Struthio camelus: one gene and its partner. The protein of the gene in region 2 interacts with the protein of the main gene of each other region in a pairwise test. Links are inferred from orthologs where the notes say so. Each region holds a gene or a part of one and is shown on either strand. Other genes may lie near its edges.

Region 1 (7,601 bases), on a different chromosome or scaffold from region 2:
TGGGGTGCTCCGGGTGCCCACACGGGTGCACAGGCTGCTGTGGGTGGGCATGGGTGCTCTGGGTGCCAACGGGGGTGCATGGGCTACTGCGGGTGGGCATGGGTGCTCTGGGTGCCCACGTGTATGCACGGGCTGCTGCAGGCGGGCATGGGTGCTCTGGGTGCCCACGGGGGTGCATGGGCTACTGCGGGTGGGCATGGGTGCTCTGGGTGCCCACGTGTATGCACAGACTGCTGTGGGTGGGCATGGGTGCTCTGGGTGCCCACGCAGGTGCATGGGCTGCTGCAGGTGTGCAGGGGTGCTCTGGGTGCCCACGGGAGTGCACTGGCTGCTGTGGGTGTGCATGGGTGCTCTGGGTGCCCACGCAGGTGCATGGGCTGCTGCAGGTATGCAGGGGTGCTCTGGGTGCCCACGGGAGTGCACTGGCTGCTGTGGGTGTGCATGGGTGCTCTGGGTGCCCATGCACGTGCACAGACTGCTGTGGGTGGGCATGGGTGCTCTGGGTGCCCACGTGTGTGCATGGGCAGCTGTGGGCGTGCGTGGTGCTCCAGGTGCTCCACGTGCTCCAGGTGCTCACGCGCGTGCGCGGGCTGCTGCAGGCATGCATGCACGTGCACGGGGTGCTCTGGGTGCACATGTGTGTGTGCATGGGGTGCTCTGGGTGCACACTGTATTTGTGGGGTGCTCATGCACGTGCACGGGGTGCTCTGGGTGCACATGTGTGTGTGCATGGGGTGCTCTGGGTGCACACTGTATTTGTGGGGTGCTCATGCCCGTGCATGGGGTGCTACCAGCTCGCATGGTGCCTGTGGGGTGCTCTGGATGCACGCACGGGTGCACGGGGCGCTGCGGGGGTGCCCGGGGGGAGGGCCCGGGTCCCCGTGTGTGCGTGTCCCCAGCGTGTGCCCGTGTCCCCAGGGCTCGCTGCGACACTTCCTGCGCCAGCACGTGGGCACGTGGGCCGGCAGCCTGCGCCTGGGGCTCTCGCTGGCCCGCGGCCTGGCCTTCCTGCACCAGGAGCTCTGGCGTGACGGTGAGTGGCGCCCGCACGTGCACCGAGCTCACCTGGCCTCTGCAAGCACCCCAGGGTGCTCTGCACATGCACCCAGCTCACACGCTCTCTGCAAGCCCTCCCAGGTGCCCAACGCGTGCACTGAGCTTGCTTGCTCTCCGCAAGCACCCTTGGGTACCTGGTGCATGCACGGAGCTTGCCTGGACTCTGCGTCACCCCGGGGCGCCCTGTGCATGCACCAAGCTCACCTCTCCAGTGCAAGCACCTCTGAGTGCCCGGTGCATGCACCGAGCTCACCCAGTCTCTGTAAGCGCTGCAGGGCCCTGTGCTTGCACCATGCTCACCCCACTCCACGCGAGCACCCCCGGGTGCCCCCCCCGGAAGCGTCTGTGACATCGTGTTCCCCCCCCCCCCACCCCCAGGCCTGTACAAGCCCAGCGTGGTGCACCGGGACCTGAGCAGCCAGAACGTGCTGGTGCGCGAGGACGGGACGTGTGCCATCGGTGACTTCGGGCTGGCGCTGGCGCTGCCACCCCGCGCCCAGGCCGGCAGCAGCGCCCGCCACGCCGTGCCCATCCGCAAGGTGCCGGGGAGCCCCGGGTGACCCGCGGCGGGACGGGACCCTCTTCTCCGTGCTGGGGGCACGGGTGGGAGCGTGGGTGCATGCCAGGCAGGGGGGCGCACGTGGGAGCACAGCCCTGGTGCAAGGAGGGACCTGGTGCAAGGGGGGGTCCGGTGCAAGGTGGGTGCTGGTGCACGTGGCAGCATGGCCCTGGTGCAAGGAGGGACCTGGTGCAAGGTGGGTGCTGGTGCACGTGGCAGCATGGCCCCGGTGCAAGGAGGGACCTGGTGCAAGGAGGGACCTGGTGCAAGGGGGGGTCCGGTGCAAGGTGGGTGCTGGTGCACGTGGCAGCATGGCCCTGGTGCAAGGAGGGACCTGGTGCAAGGTGGGTGCTGGTGCACGTGGCAGCACGACCCTGGTGCAAGGAGGGACTTGGTGCAAGGGGGGGTCTGGTGCAAGGTGGGTGCTGGTGCACGTGGCAGCATGGCCCTGGTGCAAGGAGGGACCTGGTGCAAGGTGGGTGCTGGTGCACGGTGGGTGCTGGTGCATGTAGGAGCATGGCCCTGGCGCAAGGCAGGCCCTGGTGCAAAATGAGACCTGGTGCACGTGCAAGCTGGGCCTGCCCGGCGAAAGCCGCGTCCCAATGCCCGTGCAAGCACTGCAGCGCCTGTGCGAGTGCTGCGGCACCCGTGCAAGGCCCGTGGGGCCTGTGCAAGTGGGGGCGATGCCTGTGCGAGCCCCGTGGGGCCCGTGCAAAGGCAGCAATGCCCGTGCAAGCCCTGCAGTGCTGCTTGCACAGGACCCATGTAAGCCGGGCAATGCCCCTGCAAGCCTCGCGGGGCCCCTGCAAGCCGGGCAATGCCCCTGCAAGCCTCGCGGGGCCCCTGCAAGCCGGGCAATGCCCCTGCAAGCCCCGCGGGGCCCCTGCAAGCTGGGCAATGCCCCTGCAAGCCTCGTGGGGCCCCTGCAAGCTGGGCAATGCCCCTGCAAGCCCCGCGGGGCCCCTGCAAGCTGGGCAATGCCCCTGCAAGCCTCGCGGGGCCCCTGCAAGCTGGGCAATGCCCCTGCAAGCCGGGCAATGCCCCTGCAAGCCCCGCGGGGCCCCTGCAAGCTGGGCAATGCCCCTGCAAGCCGGGCAATGCCCCTGCAAGCCTCGCGGGGCCCCTGCAAGCTGGGCAATGCCCCTGCAAGCCCCGCGGGGCCCCTGCAAGCCGGGCAATGCCCCTGCAAGCCCCAAGAGGCCCCTGCAAGCTGGGCAATGCCCCTGCAAGCCCCGCGGGGCCCCTGCAAGCCGGGCAATGCCCGTGCAAGGCAGCAGGGCCCAAGCGAGCACTGCGGGTGCGCGCAGGCGGGCACCCAGCGCTACCTGGCACCCGAGATCCTGGACGAGAGTCTGGACCTGCGGGCCTGGGGCAGGGCGCTGCGGCAAGCCGACGTCTACGCCCTGGCGCTGCTGCTCTGGGAGATCCTGTCGCGATGCCAGGCCCTGAGCCCCGGTGAGCACCCGCGGGTGCTCCCCGCCCGAGGCACCCCCCACCCACCCACCCCCCGGCCGGGGCACGGGGCTGCCGCTGACCCGACGCCCCGCAGGCCGCCCCGTGCCCGAGTTTCGGCTGGCGTACGAGGCCGAGCTGGGCGCCAGCCCCACGCCGGCGCAGCTGCGGCGCCTGGCCGTGGAGGAGCGCCGGCGGCCGCTCATCCCCGCCGCGTGGCACCGCGCCGGGCAGGTGAGCCCGCCGCAGCACCCGCCGCCCTGCGCGGGGCGGCCCCGGCCCGGGAGCTGCTTGCACGGGGCGCTCGTGCCCAGGGGGGTGCAGGGGTGGTGAGGCTGCCCGGGTGCTCGCGCCCATGGGGGTCCTTGCACAGAGTGCCTGTGCCCAGGGCTGTCCCTGCCCGGGGTGCCCAGGGGGTCCCAGGGGTGCCCAGGGGTGATGAGGGTGCCCGGGTGCTTGCACCCACGGAGGTCCCTGCACAGGTTGCCCATGCCCAGGGTGCTGGGGGGGGTCCTGGGTGCCCACGGGTGTCCCTGCTATGGGTGCACAGGGGGTCTCAGGGGTGACAAGGGTGTCCAGGGCTGTCCCTGCCCCAGGGTGCCCATGGGTGTCCCTGCCCCGGGGTGCCCAGGGGAGGGCTTGGGAGTGCCCAACCTGGGTGCCCATGCACGGGAAGGTCCCTGCCCGGGGTGTCCGTGCCCAGGGTGCCCCAGGGTGCCCCTGCCCCGATGACGATGCTGAGGGGTGCCCATGCCCAGGGTATCCATGCCTGGGGTGCCCAGGGGTGCCAAGGGTACCCAGGGAGGACCCTGCCCGGGGTGCCCCTGCCCAGGTGACGATGCTCAGGGGTGCCCATGCCCAGGGTGCCCAGGGCTGACAAGGGTGCCCAGGTGCCCGTACCTGGGGAGGTCCCAACCCTGGGGTACCCCTGCCCAAGCACCCAAGGGTGCCCATGCCCGGGGTGCCCAGGGGTGCCGGCGCGCACCCCGGGGTGCTGAGGCGGGCGCCCCGCAGCCCTCGGCGCTGCTGCAGGAGGTCCTGGAGGACTGCTGGGACCCCGACCCCGAGGCCCGGCTCACGGCCGAGCGGGCCCACCAGCGGCTCCAGCGCCTGGCCGCCGGCCCCCCCCAGGGTGCCCCCCTCCCAGGGGACCCAGGCGGCCGGGCGCCCGCTGACCCCCCCGCTGCTGCCCTCCACAAGGGGCCCAGGCGTCCGGGCTCCCCGTCCAGCAGCTGACTAGGAGGTGCGAGGTGCCCCCCTCTCCGATCCCCCCCAATTAGGGCTCGGTGCAGAAGGGAAACTGAGGCACGGGGTGGCCTTGGAGCAGCAAAGGGGGGGGGGGAGCCCAGGCGTCCGAGCCCCCACCCAGTGGGTGCAGCGAGCCCAGGCGTCCTGCTGCCAACCCTCCCCGCCCCCTTCTCGGTGCAGGGGGCCCAGGCGTCCTGGCTACCTTCCCCCCACCCCGCCCATGCAAGGGACCCAGGCGTCCCGGCTCCTCCCCCGCTCTTGCCCCGGGGGAGGGCCCAGGCGTCCGGCTCCTCCCCCGCTTCCTGCGGGCGGGGCCGCGGAGCGAGCGGAGGCGGCAGGTTGGATCGGACCCGGCCGGGTCCCCCCCCCCCTTCCCCAAATCCACCCCGGGGCCCCTGGATCCGCCCCGGCCCCCCCCAAATGCCTCCTGCACCCCCGGAACCCCCCCTGCACCTCCTGCTCCCGCTCTGCACCCCCCCTGCACCCCCAAATGCCCCCTGCACCCCCAAAACCCCCTGCACCCCCTGCTCCCTCCATGCACCCCAACTCCCTGCACCCCCAAATCCCCCCTGCTCCCGCCCTGCGCCCCAACCCTCATGCACCCCGACCCCCCTCCACCCCCAAAGCCCCCTGCACCCCAACCCCTGCACCCCCAATGCCCCCTGCACCCCCAAAGCCCCCTGCACCCCCTGCTCCCACCCTGCTCCCCAACTCCCTGCACCCCCAAATCCCCCCTGCACCCCCAGAGCCCCCTGCACCCCAAGTCCCTGCACCGCCTTGCACCCCAACCCTCATGCACCCCGACCCCCCTCCACCCCAATGCCCCCTGCACCCCAACCCCTGCACCCCCAAATCCCCCCTGCTCCCACCCTGCGCCCCAACCCTCATGCACCCCGACCCCCCTCCACCCCAAAGCCCCCTGCACCCCAACCCCTGCACCCCCAATGCCCCCTGCACCCCCAAAGCCCCCTGCACCCCCTGCTCCCACCCTGCACCCCAACTCCTTGCACCCCCCTGCACCCCCTGCTCCCGCCCTGCGCCCCAACCCTCATGCACTCCGACCCCTCTGCACCCCCAAAGCCCCCTGCACCCCAACCCCTGCACCCCCAAACCCCCCTGCACCCCCAAAGCCCCCTGCACCCCCTGCTCCCACCCTGCACCCCAACTCCCTGCACCCCCCTGCACCCCCTGCTCCCGCCCTGCGCCCCAACCCTCATGCACTCCGACCCCTCTGCACCCCCAAAGCCCCCGGCACCCCCAGAGCCCCCTGCACCCCAAGTCCCTGCACCGCCCTGCACCCCAACCCTCATGCACCCCGACCCCCCTCCACCCCAAAGCCCCCTGCACCCCAACCCCTGCACCCCCAAACCCCCCTGCACCCCCAAAGCCCCCTGCACCCCCTGCTCCCACCCTGCACCCCAACTCCTTGCACCCCCCTGCACCCCCTGCTCCCGCCCTGCGCCCCAACCCTCATGCACTCCGACCCCTCTGCACCCCCAAAGCCCCCGGCACCCCCAGAGCCCCCTGCACCCCAAGTCCCTGCACCGCCCTGCACCCCAACCCTCATGCACCCCGACCCCCCTCCACCCCAATGCCCCCTGCACCCCAACCCCTGCACCCCCCTGCACCCCCTGCTCCCGCCCTGCGCCCCAACCCTCATGCACCCCACCCCCCTCCACCCCAAAGCCCCCGGCACCCCAACCCCTGCACCCCCAAATCCCCCTGCACCCCTAATGCCCCCTGCACCCCTGCTCCCACCCTGCTCCCCAACTCCCTGCACCCCCAAATCCCCCCTGCACCCCCAGAGCCCCCTGCACCCCAAGTCCCTGCACCGCCCTGCACCCCAACCCTCATGCACCCCGACCCCCCTCCACCCCAATGCCCCCTGCACCCCAACCCCTGCACCCCCAAATCCCCCCTGCACCCCCAGAGCCCCCTGCACCCCAAGTCCCTGCACCGCCTTGCACCCCAACCCTCATGCACCCCGACCCCCCTCCACCCCAAAGCCCCCTGCACCCCAACCCCTGCACCCCCAAATCTCCCCTGCTCCCTCCATGCCCCCAACCCCCCTGCACCCCAAATCCTTCGTGCACCCGCTGATCGCCCCTGCAACCCCTGCACCCCCCAAATGCACCTGCACCCCGGTGACCCTGCACCCCCATTCCCACTTACACCCCCAAACCCTCCTTGTGCCCCCCGCACCCATCACCCCCCCCACCTGCCAATCTCCTGCTGCCCCCCCTGCCCCCCCAACCCCCCCAGAGGCCCTGGCACCCCTGGGTGCTGCCCCACACCTGAAAGCCCCCCGGGGAGGGGGTGCAGCAGGGCCCCGGACCCCCCCGCAGGTTTTGGGGGACCTCCGCTGGCTATTTGGGGTCCCCGCTCACCCCGTGTCGCCCCCTCCCAGGTCGCGGAGCCATCACCCACTGCGGCGCCATGTGGGACCCCAGCTCCGGTAAGGGGGGGCAAACCGGGGTGCTGAGGGGGGACCCCCAAAATGGGGGGGGGCTGCTCCGAACCCCCCTTGCCCCCTTGGGGCAATGAGGGGGCTCGACGTCCCTCTAATTTTCTCTCCCCCCCCGCAGGGCAGCCGGGCGCCCCAAACCCCGTGTACCCCCCAAACCCCGCGTACCCCCCCCAGCCCGTGCCCCCCCCGAACCCCATGTACCCCCCGCACCCTGCCAACCCCCCCCAGCCCCCCTACCCCCACCCCGGGGTGCCCCCAGCACCCATGGGGGGCCCCGGGCAGCCCCTCGGCCCCCCTCCCCTGTACCCACCGGGGCCCCCTGGGTGCCCCCTGCTGCCACCCCCCCACCCCGGGGTGCTGCCCCCCCCCGGGCTGGACGCCAAGGCAGCGAGGAAGATGAAGAAGCGGCTGAAGAAGGCTCAGAAGAAGCACAAGGCTGGGAAGGTGAGGAGGGGGCACCCCGGGGTGGGGGGCACCTGGGGGCGTTCCCCCCCCCCCCACTGCCACGAGCGCTCTCGTGTCCCTGCAGCGCTCTTCGTCCTCGTCGTCGTCCTCCTCCTCCTCCAGCGACTCCGACTGAGGCCGCCGCCACTGCTGAGCACCCATGTCCGGCTGTGACCACCCGTGACCACCCGTGACCGCCTGAGCCCACCCATGCACCTGTGACCAGGGAGCACCCAGGACCACTCGTGCCCACCCGTGCCCACCCATGTACCTGTGACCACCAAGCACCCGGGACCGCCCATGTCCAGCCGTGAGCACCAGTGACCACCCATGCACCCGTGACCACCAGGCACCTGTGGCCACCTGAGCTCACCC
Region 2 (7,792 bases):
TTTCAGACATTTTATTTCATAAGTAATGTCAATGTTTTTCCTTTTTTTCTCCTCAATTAGGAAATGCTACGATTTTCCACAAAATTCTAAATGTCACTGGTGTTAGTCACTGGCATGCCGAAAAACATAGTATGTGTGTATGTAATGCCTTTTCCCAAGTCATGAGACTAAAATGGCTCTATTCCTTCAAAACAGCCAGAAATGGTTGAGTAGGCAATTATTTAACATTCCTGCAAAAGCCTGGCATGTTCCTGACCTCCTAGGTGGACGGGACTTGATTCTGCTCTGATTTACACCCATGTATTATAACTGGAAGTGGGAAAGACATTACTGCAAGTCAAAGTGACAGAAAATAGAACAAAAGACCATCCCATACCTCAGTCTGTGTCTACATTGTGACTATTTAGAAAACCTTAGCCAAATTCAAAAGAATTGGCTTTTGAACTAAAACTAGTAACATGGAGCTTCGCGTGAGCTTGTTTTCTCTGCAAAGAAGCAAAGCAAACTAGTCAACACTGACGTACTACCTTAACGTATTACCTTGTGTAAACTCAAAGTTAGGGAAGGTACAACAGAGTAGAGGCAATATATTGCAGACAGGGTGTGATTCAAGTCTATTTACTGTATTCCTTATCACTGAGGTTTTTTTCTGCCCTACAGTCTTGCCTGAATAAGGACCTTCTGTGTTTCTCTCTCCCTCTCTCTGCCTTTTATTTTTTACTCATGCTGAAAATGCTAACAGTTCTATAAACAGGAATATGGTAATCAGTGTGAATGTCTTTTTAATATCTATGTCCGCTTTGGATTGTGCTTTAATTTCTAATTTTTTCAGGAAGGAATATGTGATATGACTGGCTTCTCTTTGGATATTTTCTTAAAGAGAGCTTGGGAGGAGAATACAGAATTTTAAAACGTCAAGTAACATTGTCTCTAGTGCTCCTGGTTTGTCATTATTTTCGTTCAGCATTAGCACTATTAACTACTTGACTGTTAGTCATTTTGGAAGATTCATCACAGTTTTGGGTAACCGGGATTAGAAGACAGCAGCCTTGGCAATGGAGGTTTAACCATTTATTCATGACATAAGCTCTTCCTAAGCCGTGGAAAGGGAGGTATGTTGGTTCTGACTACATTTCTCCTGTTCGGTGTACAGTCCCTGAACAACTAACGTGACACCTTTTCTTCATAAGCAGTACGTTTGCACAGAAAAGTGCTGGGGTGAAACCGTAGCGTAAACAGTCTCTCTGATGGGCTGACACACAGCGGCTCAAAGTCTGTGTCACTGAAGCTTCAATGCTTTCCCCAGATTTGTCTCCTGTGTCGTCTGTGTACCTCCTCCCTCTGCTGTGTAGAGCGGGGCACATTTTGGAAAGTAATTTCCTTGCCCAGCATATTTAGAAACAGGTTAATGATACTGCAACTTTAAATAGCAACCTAATGTGCAAAGGCAGGATTTATGGGCACAGTCAGTTCATTGAGTAGCAGCAGCTCCCCTGAACCGTCCCCAGCCCTTGCGAGTGAGCCCAGGGCTGTGCAGTGACTCTGCACATTCAGTCTGGAGGGCGCTTGAAGTCACCTTCTCTGGTATGTTAATCAGTGCCCTGGTGAATTACCTCTGAACGGAAAGAGAGGCTGTGAGATCCTGTTTTGGGTTCAAAAAAGTCTGCAGTAACCTGCAGACTTTGTAGTCACAAGAATACTTTCACATTGCCTCAGGTAGAAATATTTTAAGTGGATTGTTTTAATAAAAGTTATATCTTTGAAGTCTCTGTATAAGGAAAAGCCTATCTACTCTATGGAGAATTTTTTGCTTCTGAAGTCAGAAACCTTGTTATACTGGCAAATTTAGGGAAATTTAGCTCTGCTGCATTAACACACAGGTACTAGGGACAATCTAAATGGTATTAAGTATAACATAGATGTTGTTATCAGTTTATAATTTACTCTAAGATTTTAAGTGATACTCAGGTAAAAAAAGGATCAACAGACAGGAATTTATTATAAAGCATAGATTATTATAAATACCTACTCTCAGCTATTTCGCTTTTCTGAGAACATGTCTTAGAACAGTCCTAAAACAGGAAATTCTTCTGTCTTACTTTCTCCAATAAAAGTGAGATGCCAGACATCAAGATTCAAATACTGCAGCCAAACTCTATGCTGCGGAGAACAATCATTTATAACATGCCAGGTATCACACATCAGAATTTAGCTAAGCTGTCAGATATGACTAATCACAGGTTATCACAGAGAATCATCAGAAACAGGACGATGATTAGATACCAGACAAAGTGCCAGATATAGAAGAAAATAGGATGCACAGAGTAACAGCCACTAACCTAAGACATTACAATTACAGTGTTTGGGGACAGGAACTACCATAATACTCAACAATTAGTCACACAGTAATTAGTTCTGGTGAGTTGAAGTCATTTACATCTAACAGAATCCCTCAGTAAAGATACTTACCTTTCCAGTGAGATATTTAATTGATGCCATTGAACTCAGCAGATGTTGTTGTTACCATCGCTGTGATTACCAGTATTACGTGTGACACGCAGCAGGAAGTTCTGGCTCTAGTATCTCCTGGCTGTGTCCTGATCTTGCACCATCAGAAGTGTAGGACCTCTCTGCCTCATGCCTGCTAATTCAAATAAGACCTGGGATACTCATCATGTTAAAGCATCAGATTTATCAGAAAAGTAGTAGCTTATAAATGTTGTGTTACCTGAAAGAATGATGCAGAAGCATATTGATTGTTGGTGGAACACTGTACAGGAGCGAAAACATAGCACAATCTTATTGCTATATTAAATATGACAGATAAATATATTTTTTCTTATATGTCTGTGACTTACTTTAAAATATAAACTTATATAGGCATGTGTTCTCACTTCTGTTACATTCCTATTTTCCCTCCCCACAAATTCTGTTGTGCAATGTTCCCACCCTTCTACCTTGACTTGAGATAAGCGTAAGCTTTTCTGAGCAAGGGCTGTCTTTTATTGTATTTCTACAGTTCCTAACAGAGTATGGTCCTGATCCAACTGGTACAGTTGGATTCTAATTAACTTAAGAAAATATAATGCATGTTTTTGTATTATATATTAAATGAATGCCACCGACTCACAGGAAGCACACTTTAAAAAGCTACATAGCTGATAATAAACCACTATAAATTGGTAGCAGTCCATAAATTTCAGCAAATGTAAAAGCCCAGTGGAACAGCTGTTTAACTAATGTCAGTCATCCATATGATATGATAGTGCTGAATGAATACTGAAAACGGCTAGATATGATGTGCTTCCAGGATACTAATGTTAGGAGAAATCCCAGCTCAGCATTAAAAAATCTGTTTCCTTGAGGATTTTTGTAATGCAGATCCATATATTATTTTAACACTGATCTCATGAGACAACGATAAGTTTCGATACAGCAATTAAGAGGCAAATATATTAAACCAAATTCCCTGCTTCCCTGAATTTAGGATAAGGGCTGCTCTACCTGGGCCAGCTGGCAAAGACTCCCACGGGGCTGCCTGCCAGCTCTGCACAGTCAGAAAGCTCAGCCACTGCTCTTCTTTTCTTCTGTCCCTTGACCTCTCCTCCTATGCCAGAGGCTGTAAGGAGGTGACGTAGGAGCCAAAAATAACAGCTGCTGTTGGCACAGCTGGGGGACTTCACCCTCTTGGGCTGAGTGGGGTGGAGGAAAGACATTTGCCTTATGATTCCTAGATATATCTGAACTGTATTTACCGTCAAACACAGAACACATTGACTCATGCAGGGTCAACATGACTTATCAGCATCTCCAGTCTCTGAAAAGTGATTCGTATTTAATGTATTATTGAGCCATGGTTATGCATCCACGTGTGTAGCAGAATTAATCTTTTCAGTTATTCTGAGACGTTCTTTTTCTATCAGTGCAGGGTATAGAAACCTGAGCTGCTACAAATGAATGTGCTGGTAAACGCTTGCAACGTTTTAGCAGTACTAATTGGTTAAACTGCTCCTTTCTGAGATCTAGCTCTTGCGAACGTTTCTTGGGCTCCTTCATGGTATAACCAGAGAGCTATTACGCTTTCAAACTTTTCACGTACCTAAAGGTTCTTGGGAACTCATAGCAGGCTACCTTTAGGTGTGCTGGACTGCTTATGTGAAGGAAGAAAAGTAAAATTGCCCAACTCTTGCAACAACAGACGGGCCAGCTCAGTGGCTCAAGAAATTTTTCAGCGGCACCATGTCACCGGCTCTGTGGTTAGCGTTAGGTGACGGGATGGCATCAGGGGCTCTGCGGTGGTGCTGGGTGACGGGATGGGGTCGCAGGCTCTACAGGCTCTGTGTGTTGGTGCTGGGTGACGGGACGGCGCCAGGGGCTCTGTGTTGGTGCTGGGTGACAGGATGGGGTCGCAGGCTCTGCAGCTGGTGCCCTCCGGTCATAGTGAGGGATGGGTTGTCTGCTGCTGGGTTTAGATATTTCAAATACACCCATCCTAAGAAAAAGAAAAGCTATTAACTGGGAGGCAGGTTCCTGGGGGCGATGAAGGGTGGAAGATGGCGGCGAGGCCCCGAGGCGGCGGTTGGCCGGGGCCGCCGGGGCCGGCACTTCCGGCATCCCGCGGGCACCATGACAACGCGGGAGGAGACGAGACGAGCGGAGCGGCGGTCCTCGCGGTGCGTCCTCTCTGGCCGCGGGATGCCTCGCTCTCCATGGCAGCGACGCCGTCCTACCCAATAGGGAGGGAGGAGGAGGAGGAGGCAGTGGCCCGGCATGCAGCGCGGCAGCCCGCCTCACTTCCCGCCCGGGCCGCTAAGATGGCGACTCCCATGCACCGACTCATCGCTCGGAGACAGGCGTGAGTGCGGCGGGCGGCCGAGAGGCGCCCCGAGGCGGGGGAGCGGCCGAGGGGCGGCTGCGGAGCCGGGGCGGGGGCTCTGGCCGTGGGTTCCCCGAGCGGGGGCCTCCCCTGCCCTCCCCCCGGCTGTGGGGCCCCCCGGCTCTCTTTTGGGGCAGTTTCGTGCAGAGCAGACGCCCTTCACGGGTGCCCCGCTGTTGGCAGCGTGGTGCTGCGGGTGGGTAAGGGAAACGCTCCCAAGTGAGGCTTGGCTCATCCTGTTAACCGGGCTGAGACTCTCTTCGTTTCGGAGCTGACAGGGTTAAGACCGTATATGGTGTTTTGGGCTCCCTGAACCTGAAGGGTCCCGTGTTTTTTGTAAGAGTTGCGGAATTAGTGATTTCTGGCTCCATCTTGCGCAAGGTGGAGGCTTTAGAGGGACTTGAGATAGCAAACATAAGCTTATGTTTGCTTTCTTGTTTAAAAACAAAACAAAAAACCAAAAATTGTGTGTGTCCTCTGCAGCAGAGTGCAGGAGGTTTTCTCCCTCTGTTGTAGGGAGTTATGGTGATTTAAAGAATTAATAAAATCATTACAGTGAAATGATCAAAAATGAAAGCAGGATTCCTGAAAAGGAAAGGCAATCTCCCCATTGACTAAAACTTTCCCTTTCGTTGCTGTTAACGCCAGTTAGCAACTATTTGGGAAAAGGCTGCCTTATGGGTTTAGCATGTCGTCCCTTTCAGTGAAGCGTATAAGACCTTGTGATGCAGGTAGGCACAGGTCTTATCGTGTCACTCTTGTCAGTCAGGTGTGGGGGGGACCAAATAATTTCTGGCTTCACATTATAATATGTTTAGTAAATTACTAAAAAAAAAACCCGGGGTGGGGAGGGGAGAAAGCAAGCACCCTTTACTCAGTTATGCTTATTGCTTTTGGGTGATTCTCTAAATATCGGGGAGATCTGATTGCCAAATGCTGAAATGAGGAAAAGCCAATGTTTTTTGATTACTGACATTAAGTAAAGCAGATGCCTGTGTTCTACTGCCGTGTTTTGAGTTTTTGGGTTTTTAGGGAGGGGGTTTGTTCTTAGGGATTTTTTTGGCTGATCATAGCATTAGAAACAATATGGATGGTTTTTGCTGCCTCTTTACTTTTTCATTAGCTAGTATAATTCGTTTCTTACTTTCCAATGGAAAATATACTTGGAATGTCAAAGTACTTGCAGAATACTTGTTTTTTTTAAGTTGCTATTTTATATTGGTCATAGAATGATTTCTTAGTGCGTGTTATTTCTCCATGTGCTTGATGAGAATTGCTGAGTTGTACGTCTGCCAAGACTTGCTTCTAGGTTGTGATAATTGATCTGTGTGAAAAGTTTGTTTTAGTCTTGAGCTTTTAATTACTGTTAAAACTTGTCAGTGTTGACACTGTCTTTACAAATCTGTAGTTCTTGAGCTATTTTGATCTGTTCTTCCTAATTATTAATAATTAATAAGTAATTATTACTTCCTGTAATTGCTTATTATATTGCTTTTAGGATTTTATCTTAACATTTTAGTTTGCATAGAATTGTCTACATCGGTCAGGTGAATAGCATTAAAGCCTTGGAAATGCTGAATTATATTATTGTTGCTTTGACTGCCCATTCTGTTCCTATGGTCTGGGCTGGCCTGAGATACAAAGCAACAAAACGTAAATGTTTTTCTATCTTGATTAAGAGGATGAGAGAGTTCTCGTTCTGCTCATGTGTAATGACTGCATCAGAGTCAGAAGTCCAAGGCAAGAATTACACCGGACGCTTTCCTAGTAAAGAAATAAGTTACCGGTTTTGTCCCAGTTTTCTTTGCAGTGGTTTAATACTAGCAAAAATCAAAATGTAAATGTAGTTTGTGTGTTTAAAAAAGTTTTTGTTGCAGTAGTTCACTTGTATTTGTCTTCTCAGTGTAAACTTTCCTACATGCTAAAGCTTGCTGCGTTCTTGTGTGAATGAATAATAGGTATATAAAAACAGTAACATGTTTTGAGCATACCTGACGAAGTGAAACATCGTGTTTCTGTCCTTAGTGTTAGGGTACAGCCTTAAACCTACCTGAATGTTATTTGGAAAGGAAAAGAAAAAGGGATGATTTTTGTGTGTGTGTGTGTGTATGAAACTTAAATCAATTTCCCTGCAGCACATGTGGTATACTTCATTTATTTTAAGAGCAGGCCCACAACTAAACATTTTTTAATTTTATGAAGCCTTTCAAAGCACCTGTTACATTATTTGTACTTTAACCTCTTCTTTCAAGGGTGCTGGAGTGTGAGGTGGTTAATGTTTGGGCATCCTTAGATGCACCCGGAGGAGCGCTGCTCATCAGCAGCAGTGTTTTAAGTATAGTTTGTAACCATTCAGGAATATTTTGCTTATGTTTGTCTAAGTACCACACTTACAGTCTGTTGCTTATCCCTTTGCTATCTAGAACCTCACTTGTTCTACAGTTTTATTTGTTGATTGAAATGAGCTAAAGTTCTGGTCTTTAAAAACCTTTTCTGTGTTTGTTTTTTGTTTAACATAAACAAGTGGACTTATGGTCTAAATGAGGTACTATTTTGTTTAAGGCAAAGTGCATCTTGCACAGTGTGACGGTTATTCAGATACTCTTTTGCAGGCATTCAGAAGAGTTTTGTGTATTGTTCAAGATGTCTTTTAGGACACAGGAAGAAGATGGAACTTAAACCATTCACAAGACCTTGTGTGTGGGTTTTGTTTTTGTTTTTTCCCCTCAGGACTAAAAGTGTTGTTTCCTGTTGAAGTCAGAGTTAATTGTGCAGAGTTGATTGCAAGTTTAATTAGTTCTTTAGTCCTGATTTACATCAATGTTTCTAAGGCTAGACTATGAAGCCAAATAAACTTGGCATTGAAAGCAGGATGGATGTTCATAACAGGACTAATCAAGATACAACACAGCTGTT

The links. The genes of interacting proteins can lie anywhere in the genome.
Region 1: the proteins of ZCCHC10 (region 2) and PRR13 interact in binary tests that used the Homo sapiens proteins (3 or more experiments, as listed by UniProt). The two-hybrid records come from large-scale screens. The link is inferred for Struthio camelus from reciprocal best matches to the Homo sapiens genes ZCCHC10 and PRR13.

Annotation. Positions count from the first base shown.
Region 1 is NC_090969.1:3,336,502-3,344,102, reverse strand, and holds the start of PRR13 (proline-rich protein 13), read left to right. Parts: upstream 1-4,590; 5' UTR 4,591-4,653; intron 4,654-6,722; 5' UTR 6,723-6,751; coding exon 6,752-6,770; intron 6,771-6,900; coding exon 6,901-7,226; intron 7,227-7,311; coding exon 7,312-7,362; 3' UTR 7,363-7,601. Other genes in the region: AMHR2 (anti-Muellerian hormone type-2 receptor), read left to right, coding at 919-1,033, 1,435-1,595, 2,923-3,070, 3,165-3,301, 4,082-4,303. UniProt on the Homo sapiens protein: Negatively regulates TSP1 expression at the level of transcription. This down-regulation was shown to reduce taxane-induced apoptosis.
Region 2 is NC_090954.1:2,125,833-2,133,624, forward strand, and holds the start of ZCCHC10 (zinc finger CCHC domain-containing protein 10), read left to right. Parts: upstream 1-4,642; 5' UTR 4,643-4,709; coding exon 4,710-4,855; intron 4,856-7,792.